Linked DNA regions of Oryzias latipes. The protein of the gene in region 3 purifies or fractionates together with the protein of the main gene of each other region. This does not show direct contact. Links are inferred from orthologs where the notes say so. Each region holds a gene or a part of one and is shown on either strand. Other genes may lie near its edges.

Region 1 (3,521 bases), on a different chromosome or scaffold from region 3:
ATTTGAAATTGCTTGCACTTTCAATGTCACTTGTCATGTTTCCTTAAAGACCCACTTCCGTTAAAAATGTGTTTTGCGTGTTTTTAACATGTTTTTGTAACATTTTTCTCATGATGGAGGAGATAAAGAAAATTAATACTGAAATAATTTCTGAGTATTTCTATATTTAAATTGTGGTGAATCAGGAGCAAATGAAAAAACGCTGTTTGTAGTTCTTTACTAAAAACTACAAAAAGAGGTCTGCTCCGCTCCATTTCGATACATCTGCATGATCGAAGTGGGACTCTAAAAGCCTAAAACCGACATTGTGCATCCCTACTGATTTGAAGCAATATCCAATTCATCGTGGAACTATTTTTGGCAGCAACTCGTTACCATTAAAATTTTTTAGTGTTGGGGACGCTACAGTATCTGTCTAATGGTTATCCTGTTTCTTGCTTGATGAAAGTTTTAGATTCTATGAAACTGTGTTTAAAAATTATTGTCTAATCATTGGAACAAAATCTCGAGAAAAAAAGAAGGAAGAAGATAGTTAAATTGTCACGGTTTATCTATGTCAGATTTGAAGGGTTAATAGAATTCTTCCCAACTTTAGCCAAGTTTGAGACATGAGGCTTTCAGCACTGTTTAACAGTTGGATAAGCTCCTCTTTCAATCATGATGCCCCATTAGACCACCCCTCCTCCTTAGGCTTTCTCTTAACATCCGACCAGCTGGAGCCTCAAGGGGACAAAAGGACAAGCAGTGACAACACATCATAGGCACCTTTCCCTGTTATTTCTAGGACACACAGTGACCCAAGTGTGACCCCATTATCCCCGAGCAACTGTCTGTGCTCTCAGCTCCACCTTTATGACAGCAGGTCTAACTTAAACCATCGCTCATCTGAAAAAGGCATCAACATTGTCTTCATCCCAAACCCCATAAGAACCATAAAACGATTCACCCTCAGCTAAATTACCTTACCGCCCAAAGACCTGCTGTCCATACTAAAACCAACCAGTGACAGACACCCCACCGTGGCCCATCTGAACCCTTACCCATGATAAATACTTCAACCCTCCACCCTTCACCACCCACTCTGATTCAAGACCCACCACATGGTCATTGATGAAAGAAGCCCCCCTCCAGGGATCAAATGAGCTGGAAGGACATCAAGCAGCCTGCTTGCCCCAGTCTTAGTGCTACTCAGGCGGGCCAGTGCTTGGGTTCCTCCTCCACCACTATTCACCACTATCCTCCATACTTCCACAGCTCCACTCCGTGGGCCCACGAAGGGGGGAGGTTAATGAAGCATGGGGAGGGAATTACACTAACGCTAACCGGCAGATGTCCTATATTGTTCCATACTACAATAAACAATATGGCTGCCTCTGGTACATTAGCATCAAAAAAGGAGCTGAGCTCAGAAAGCCATGTTTTGACTGCCTCTTGTAGTCAGTCTGTTTTCTCCCATTTTTTCAGGGTTAGATATGTTGCCTTTTTGTTTGGTTTTTCTTTTCTCCACAAGTTGTTTAAAGCACCTTTGGAAAAAAAACCTTCCAACTTCAATTTGGAACTTTTGACTCGTGCAAATCATATAGGCAACCTTGTACTCACATACTGTAAATCTTGCCATTTCTATCTATTTATTAGACACTGCCTCAATTGCCTTTGTTGAGCTTAGTTCTGGAAAAATGCTGAAATGTTTATGACTTTTCGTGTTTGTAATTGATGCTATAGAAAAGGCTAAGAAGGCCAAGATTGTTTGTGTCCAAGAGTCACACGTGAGATAATTAGTGTTTACTAGGAAATGCTGTTGAAAGGAAACATGGTGAAATGACTATTTAAAGCTGAGAGGAACTGATGGGTGGAGGAATACTATTGTGTCAGCCCCCCCCATGCTACACACACACAAACACACACAAAAATGGCTAACTGCCTGCCTCTGTCCTATGGCCCTGTGTGTCTGCTGCCATTCTTCATAGGTCATGGCTGAATGGAGATGTAGAAAGGAAGGACTGTTTATGCATCCTGCCTATGGTCAGAGGGCACCCACATGCTTTTGCATGCTTTCACTCAGTGATGCACCCTTACGCAGGGGTACACATGTACGCAAATATACCCGTTTTACTTTATAACCAAATGTACAGAGCGTTTGTGCCACATCGCTCATCATCCCCACAAAACCGTGTGGGGAGTCTTTTCTATGGCTAGCACACAACCAGGCCCCACGCCATTTGCTAATGTTTTCTGCTTGAATTCACAGGCCTCATTGACTCGCACACCAGCTGGTTGGCCACTTAATAGAGCTGTGGACTCTGGTCCTCTTCACTTGTGGGGTCTTGATAGACTGTTTTGGAGCTGTTTGTTTAAGATATGTGTTTCCTTAAAAAAAAACATGTGTCTTTGTAATTTTAGTTACCATTGTTTTTCCTTGCTCTATGTTACCTACCCTACCTAATTCTTACATGCAAAAACATGAACTGGATGCATTAAGTTGCCTGGATGACAGTTGAGGTAACAAACTGCCTTACCACTATCCCTTGAACTATTTGTTTACAGGTGTAAGACCTGTTTGAGTTTCAAAAGAACAAGTCTAAGCTGGTTTGGAAATAGCTTTTTCCTGCTCACAATAGTTTGCTAGTTTGTCGTAGATGCAGTGCTACTTGAAGTCACTGCTGACGGGCCTGAAAAGCAAGCAAGAAACAGTTAACTATAGCAGGACAGCTGCTCGCCAACACAGATCTGTTCTCGCACAAAGCAGGGGCCTAACTCTGCCGCTGTCATTTGTGTGTGTATGTGTGTGTGTGTGTTATAGTCAGTTATCAAACATCTGCCACAGTCGACAAGAAAAGAGATAGGCTTCTTCTTGTTGACTCCCTCAATACTTCAATGTCTTGTTGCATTTGTATGTTGTTACTTTTTGTTTGGTAACTTTCTGTGCAGATGCATTAATTGAAGTTGTTAGTTTTACTGAATCATATTCATCAGGTCAAACACACCAAGTTAAAAAATTCAGTTTGTAATTTCTTTCTTAAAACCTGTTTTTTTTTTAGGATATGATGTACCAGCTGCTCCAGGGACTGGACTTCCTGCACTCGCACCGTGTGGTTCACCGTGACCTGAAGCCCCAAAACATCCTGGTCACTAGCGGAGGACAGATCAAACTGGCGGACTTTGGGCTAGCTCGCATCTACAGCTTCCAGATGGCTCTGACATCTGTGGTGAGTTAGTGCCTATCAAACCCTATTGGCACAGAGTTTAGCCTCTCTGTCTTTGATGGGGAACTATTCCCTGACCCTGATGCCATGTGGAGCTTTGGCCAACTAAGTGTCATGGCACCTGTCCACTAAGCATCTCCTGAAAACCTCCCAGCTTATTCTAGAGCTTTTTCTTTCATTTTCTCATATGTTCTAAAACTGTTTTCCCCATTTTTAACTAATGCACAAAACACATGGCTTGAACTTTTCTCCCTTCTCCTGAGAATTGGATAAAAAGCATCCAGTGTTTTGTCTGGGCACTTACGGGGCATCAGTTGG
Region 2 (2,800 bases), on a different chromosome or scaffold from region 3:
TTGAACGTTTTAAGTCATTTCAGTAAGCATTGTGGACTTTCTTTCTTTAACTGACGGGTACCAACAATTTTGTCCACCACTGTATAAACACAATATGAACATCATCTTTGCAAAAGTTCAGATTTTTGTTTTGGTGGGAGAAACGCTGCTGAGGGCGGCTCTAGGTTGTCATGACAAGGAGCAAAAGCCGGTGACTCTGTCGTCTTACGTCCCGGTTGGAAAAGAATTCACAGAAATAATGCATTCTTCAGTCTGCCAAAGGTAATTTTTGATCATATATACATGGATATTTTTACTATAAAAGGCTTAAGTATAGCATGGTATAGGCCCCTTGAAATGGCTGTGTTTTCGGCACCATAAGGTGCGCTGTAATATAAGGTGCAAAAAAAGGTAAACGAGGCAAAACGAGTTTAGTTGAACTTTATTCCAATCTTTAACAATCCACTCACATTATTTCTTTTTATCAATCTTTTCCAACAAACCTATTAAAGTGTCTGAATGAAATAACCGCAACATTTTGGAATCAAACTTGCCAGGTTCCCTCTCATCGTTGTTGGACTCTGTTTGCTGCCAAGTGGCTCTTCAGCAATGATGGCAGGTTTAGTAGAAGCTCATACAACAGCTACAGCTCAGACTTTAGCCCATATGTCCATTCACAAATGGAGGAGCTGCCATCCGTCTGTCATCCATCGCTCCCACCACTCTATCCTGCTGTTCCTGCCGTGGCACCGGGAATGAGTCTTTTTAGGCCTGAAGGGACCTCAGAGTATGATCAAACACTCATCCTTAGGGTTGAATCTGAGTGACTTGCACAGACTCGCATGCAGCAAACATACTAGAAACACCTTTGTGTACAGTTTGACTGGATCTTTGTGCAGAGCGCGGCAGGCGGCCATGTGCCTGTGGGGAGCATGGACTTCCTGGAGCGCTCAAAGTCAGACACATCAGGGCTCCACTGTAATGTCGCCTGAGCGGGAGAAAACCGTCCATTTCAGCATGATCATCTCCTAAACGAACAGATGCTGTCAGACCAATCATCCGCGTATTTTTGGGACTGGCCGTGTAAAATGACACGACGGGGACAGCTTGTGCTCTGAAATGCCGTCCCAATCTTTGTTTTGGTCGCACTGAAGTGGGTTTCTGCCGGACCCTCTAGATGTGGCACAACTTTACCTCCACACACATCGTTTCCTTGGAGCACGGCTACCACTTTTAGGACAAACTGCCATGGGGGAAGATTCCAGATATGAATTTGGATTCAGGTGTGCCATGCGCCACAATCATTGTTTGTGACCCACCTGGGTCCATCAAAACACGCACAGTGCGCTCATCTGTGCGATCGCTACTCCTGTCAGCAAGAACTGGTCAAACAGGCGCTTCCCAAATTGGCACAAGAACATTTTTACAGGTTTTGAAACTCGGTGCACACAAAAGGCTCGATTTAAAAAAAAAAAAAAAAAAAGAGATTCGGCTTTTAAGTGCCTAATAGTGCTGCTAATACTGTAAGATTATTTTTAAGCAGAAGTTACAAATGAGAGCTCACTTCTCCTCTTTGATTATTATCAGTTTTTAATTGCATTCATATGAAAACTGTCAAGTGAGTTTTATTTTTCCACAGTTGTCACTCACAGAAAAAGGTTTTCTGTTGACGCTTTAACTACTTTAAAAAAAACAAAAGTTTTAACCAAATTGTCAAATCCTGAGTCAGGAGCAGAGGAAAAAATGCCGTTTGAAAGATTGTAGATGTGACAGGAAATAGTCTGGGCGAGCCACAAGCTTCCTGCTCCGCTCCATTCTGATGCAGACAAATACATCCATGTACGTCGTTTTCTGCAGCTGAGCTGGCTGAAAATGGTAAACTCATAATTAATGGGAACAGGTTTACAATAGATCAAGAATGACCAGTGGGACTTGAAAGGCAAAAACATTTGAATGGACTTGTTTTCTTTCTTCCAGTACCTTTTAGCCATGACCTTTGTGTACTTCAAACGAGCTCACTTCACTATTGCTGAATACAACAGAAGGAATTTTTTCATCGCACTGTAAGTTCAGTTGGAAATGATCCATTTTTTGTTTGATCATTAGTTCATTTCTGGCAGAAGTGAAGTGTTTAAACGGAGCTTCTGTTCCTCTGCAGTTATCTCGCAAACACCATGGAGGAGGATGAAGAGCAGAGCAAGTATGAAATCTTTCCCTGGGCTCTGGGCAAAGGCTGGAGGAAACAGTTTCCCCGCTTCCTCCAGCAGCGAGACGTGCTGTGGGCTCGCATCCAGTACCGAGCCGCTGTCAGCCGGCGCTGCTGTGAGGAGGTACGCCACAAAGAAAGCGTCCAGGAGCCCCCCTGAGAAGTGTTTGATGCCTCTCTGATTCTGCCCTCCAGGTGATGGCTGTTGTGTCTTCCCATTCTGTGTGGCAGCGAACACGGTCTGATCACCACAGTGGTGCCCAGCGGCAGTACAGCGATCCAGGCTCGCCTTTTCCACGGGGGCCCTCCGCCTCCCCGCCCTCCTGTGGCCTCTGCAACGATGGCGGCAGGTTGCATCACAGGGCCGTCTCCCTGTCTGTCTCCAGAAGCTCGCCAAGGCAGACGCTGGAAAAATCCCACTCATTTACGACTGCTGCTAGTTTGGAGGTCACCCCCCCTCGAGTTGCTGCCCCCCAGAGGAAAACGGTGAAGTCAAAGAGCCAGGCACAGCCATCGCAGCGCTTCTGCCCTGAGGAGATGGCCAGTAGGTCTCAGTAAAACTACAGACACAGGCATCCATGTCTCTGTCAGTCATTAGGAGCACTTGTGGTAAAA
Region 3 (4,199 bases):
GGGTTTGGTTGAAAACACTTGAAATGAATGGGATTTGGATCCTGACTGAGCCGTCGTGTTCGCTTGCAGGTACCAGATGGTTTCAGACGGAGCCGTGTGGATCAACCACACACGGGCGGACAAACCGGAGCAGGTTCTCGTCCCCAAACTCCACGTCCTGTCCAACGGACTCACTCTGCTCAGAGTGGGCAAGAGGAACTACTACATCATCAAGTGGCTCGGTCTTTGAGGCTGCACCGCCCACCGCAGTGCCTGTACGCCGTAAAGGACTTACAGGCAAGGTAGGCGACTAAAGCAGACTGTAGCGGACTCATAATGGTGACTCTGTAAGTCCATGTGGCCTTTGTTAAAAATGTAATCGTACAGACAACTTTAGTATTTAAAGGTATTAAAAGATTTGTGCTTCCAGAGTTGTGTGTTAGATGAAGCTCTAGGGGGCGCTGTTGGCTTGACAGTGGTTGAGTGAACACTGCTGCACCTCCTATCCTGCTCTGACCCTTTGAGTAAATAATTGCTCACAGCTAAATTAGATTGCATCATTTCTGTCAAAAGGCTTTTGGTTCTATTTAAAGACGACTGCGCCACTTTCAATTTAAGCATCAAGCTGCCCTCTATTCTCATTTAGGGGTGTTTATTTTTTTTTGCATGTGAATAAAAAGTAAAAACTAAGAAGCTTTATGATAAATCTGGAAAAAAACAGTTGACTTTAGGATAGCAGAAATTTATTTTCATCTTTATATGTTATTACTTCATATATAAATATTTTCAGTCAATAATTCCGATATATGTACAGATTTTGTTACGGTAAGAAAATTTTTTAGAATTAAAATGTTTATTAGGCTTTTACTAAATCAGCTCAGTTTGGGGTCCTCTTACTGGACTTTATCTCCATTTAGGACCACAGGTTCATTTATTAGTGTCCATTGAAAGAATATGATGCAACAATTTCAGTTTTGTTTTGGATTTTACTCCATTTTAATTGTATTTATTAATTTTACTGTACATCCAAAATGTTTAAAATAAATACTGAATATGTGTGTTTTAGAACATATTGGCACTATTTGTATGGTTGCAATCCAATTTTTTTCTTCAAATTTAGATGTCTTAAAATGTTTAATCCATTTTACTTTTTGAAACTTGTACATTAAGTTACATCAAATGTGTGAACTTATTTACTTTGTAAAAAAAATAAAAAAGGTAAGTAATATGTTTAGAACAGCATGCCTTATGCAATTATTCGGTCTACCTTAAATAAAGTGGGCGGGTCTAAAGAGCTCCATCCAATGAGTGCGCTTCTTGGGTTTTAAATGGCTCCGTATGTCAATCATGTGTAACCCTCCTCCCCCTCCCTCCAAAGTCAACCTCCCCTCTCAATCCCCACTACATGTCTCAATCGCCATATTGGGTACCGAGAGGTTCGCCTCCGCTTCCCGCTGTACGGAGCGACGTTGACAGCGAGCTTTGGTTCGTTCTCCCGTCGTTTGGATGATTGGCGTAAGCCGTCTTCGGCTCAGGAAATCGCAGCCGTGTTTGCCTCCAGCTCGACGTGCGCATGGTCGTTTCACGCCTGTTTTGGATCTTTCCCCGTGACTAGGAGGACATACCTTTTTTTTCTTTTCTTTTTTCTTCTTGAGGTGTGTTTTTCGCCTGAAAACTGGACGCTCCCGGCTGCTTGAAATTTTTACCTTTTTTCCGGGGGGCTTAACCATGTCTAACGTTCGACTTTCGAGCGGGAGCCCGACTTTGGAGAGGACGGAGCCCCGGGTGTCGGAACACCCGAAGCCGTCAGCCTGCAGGAGCCTCTTCGGCTCGGTGGACCACGAAGAGTTAAAGAGGGATTTAAATGTACATTTGCGGGAGTTTGAAGAGGCTGCCTCCGCCAAGTGGGGCTTCGACTTCGCGACTGACACACCGCTGCCCAACAGCAGGCTGGAGTGGGAGCTGGTGAACGCCAGAGACCTGCCGAGTTTCTACACCCGCCTGCCGCGGCGAGAACGAGGCGTTTGCCCCGGGAATAACAATGTGGATCTAAACGGGAATCATGACTGTGTCGGGACAGTTCCCAGCCGCTCTGACGCTCAGATGGAGTGCACGGAGCAGTGCGGCGGGCTGAGGAAGAGACCTGCGTGTCACGGTATGACATTAGCATCAAACGACCCGTTGCTGTGTAACAGATCGCCGGGCGGCAGCTTTGTGCTCGCGGTACTGGTATGCGGGATGAGGGGGTCGTAAAGCGGGGGAAACTGCCGTAAAATCCCAGAGAACATTGAGCACCCCGACCATTTTTTTCTCTCTGTAATATATAGTTTATTTTACTCATTTATTTATTTTTGCAGACCCTTCGGCCCCAAGTAAGAAGTCTCACACCAGCCCGGAGGAGGTTAGCTGTCCGAGCCTGAGCCAGTCTGCAGAACACACACCCAGAAAGACCAGCCCCAAGAGACCAACGTGAGCACGGCGACACGGTGAGCGAACCACTTCAATTTAAAAAAAACTGTTAACCTCGAATTTAAAAAAAAAAAAAGATATTAAATTTTACATCATTTTTTTTTTTATTTGTATTGACGCATTCTAGCGCAAAAAAGTGAAGTCTGTTTATTAAACCAAGAGGATTTATATGACACGCCAATAAAGAATTTTTAAAAAAAAAAGTTTTTTCCTCCTTGCGGCCGATGTTCGTCTGCTGAACTGTAAACAACAAGCTGAACAACAGTGTAGTAGTAACACGTCAGCAGCCAGTGGCCTCCGCGCGGACGGGAAGGGGCAGGTCTCTGAGCGCGCGCGCGCAGAAACACACGCAGACATGTACACTCCCTGCTGCAGAGGAGAGTACGAGAGTTCTGCAGGTCTACTATGACCCACAAGAGAGAAGGAGCACAGAAACCTGCTCTAAGCTGTCAGGTGTGAACCTTTAAAGGTTGTGGCAAAAAAAGTCAAGGTTAAATTAGCGGAACTTTGACTTCGATTTATCTTTAAGTAAAAAAAAATCCCATGTTCATTTTCGTCTCTTCTTAGTAAAAATAAAAGTTAACAGAACTGAAAAAATTGCACGTTTTTGTAAATGGTATGCAGCCGAGCTTTATTTGAGTTGATAGTTTTGTTTTGTTTTTGGAAATGACTAGTTTCTTCTTTTTTTTCAGTCATACCTCAGAACACTGTCAATACTTTAGCAGTAGTAGTTGCATCTCCTAAAAGAAAAAAAAGTACTAACCTTTCAACCTCTTTGTTTTTGTCTTTTGTTCTGATCTCCAACAGAGCTCAAGATGTGCCCCTCCCAGTTTTTTTTTCTCTGTACGAGTGTGTTTGCGTATGCGTGCATGTGTTTTTTTTTGTTTTTTTGTTTTTAAGACTGCGTTGATCTTTTTTTTTTTTTTTTAATTATTCTTTCCTTTTTTTGGACGAGGATCTACACAGCATCAGAAACATATCAGCTCTCCTGAGGACGGGGGAGGACGCTGTTGAAGCACTGAAGAGAAACACTAAAGTTTGTGGCACTCATTGAAATGTTACTGCCTCTAACAGCAGTCCATGTAGCAGCGTGCAATTAGGTTTGATTTTTTTCTTTTTTTAACTACCTGTGTGTAAATAATTTAATAAATAAATATATATGTTTTCTATGTAGCACATAAAAACATTGATTTTTTTTTTTTTTTAATCCTTTGTGTAAAAGAGGTGTGAATTTTGATTTGACTTGAAGTGTTCGGTTTGAAACATGTTTCCAAAATGCTGTTCTGTTTGCATTTTATTATTATTATTAATATTTTTGAAAGGCACTGTGGTGTTGACCCAGTCCATAAATGCTACATTTAAAAAAAAAGAAAGAAAATCATGGTTTTAGTTTCTCAACAGTGTGCCTTTATGCCGTCATCTTCCTAACTCAACAGCAAGGAATGGTACAAATGTAGCTCATCTGCCTAATGAACGTGTTTTTCTTTTCTTCCCTTTTTTGTGTTGAGGCCACTTTTTCTTTTTTCTTTTTTTTAAAGATCCACAGGAAATGGCACAGGATGAAATTAAAAATTTCAGCAAGTACCTTTTATTTTCCTTTTTTTTTTTTTAATATTTATTTTAAAATTGGAGTTCTGATGCTTTTATTTTGTAAATGTTTCGATCCCCAGAGTTGTGAGGCACTCATTTTTTTTTTGAAGGACAAAGACCATGCACATGTTTCCAGGCTGTCAAACCTAAGTTAAATGTTT

What was found. Proteins that work in one complex are often made in the same cells at the same time.
Region 1: the proteins of cdkn1b (region 3) and cdk6 purify together in Homo sapiens (affinity purification with western blotting; 8 studies listed by BioGRID and IntAct, counting the BioPlex papers as one, with this or other methods). This does not show direct contact. The link is inferred for Oryzias latipes from reciprocal best matches to the Homo sapiens genes CDKN1B and CDK6.
Region 2: the proteins of cdkn1b (region 3) and spdya purify together in Homo sapiens (affinity purification with western blotting; 3 studies listed by BioGRID). This does not show direct contact. The link is inferred for Oryzias latipes from reciprocal best matches to the Homo sapiens genes CDKN1B and SPDYA.

The regions. Positions count from the first base shown.
Region 1 is NC_019869.2:9,947,201-9,950,721, reverse strand, and holds part of cdk6 (cyclin-dependent kinase 6), read left to right. Parts: intron 1-3,038; coding exon 3,039-3,206; intron 3,207-3,521. UniProt on the Homo sapiens protein: Serine/threonine-protein kinase involved in the control of the cell cycle and differentiation; promotes G1/S transition. Phosphorylates pRB/RB1 and NPM1.
Region 2 is NC_019880.2:27,229,359-27,232,158, forward strand, and holds part of spdya (speedy protein A), read left to right. Parts: intron 1-1,956; coding exon 1,957-2,042; intron 2,043-2,137; coding exon 2,138-2,309; intron 2,310-2,380; coding exon 2,381-2,729; intron 2,730-2,800. UniProt on the Homo sapiens protein: Regulates the G1/S phase transition of the cell cycle by binding and activating CDK1 and CDK2.
Region 3 is NC_019864.2:11,436,231-11,440,429, forward strand, and holds the start of cdkn1b (cyclin-dependent kinase inhibitor 1B), read left to right. Parts: upstream 1-1,386; 5' UTR 1,387-1,707; coding exon 1,708-2,134; intron 2,135-2,336; coding exon 2,337-2,452; 3' UTR 2,453-2,465; intron 2,466-3,255; 3' UTR 3,256-4,199. Other genes in the region: yars2 (tyrosine--tRNA ligase, mitochondrial), read left to right, coding at 70-229. UniProt on the Homo sapiens protein: Important regulator of cell cycle progression. Inhibits the kinase activity of CDK2 bound to cyclin A, but has little inhibitory activity on CDK2 bound to SPDYA. Involved in G1 arrest. Potent inhibitor of cyclin E- and cyclin A-CDK2 complexes.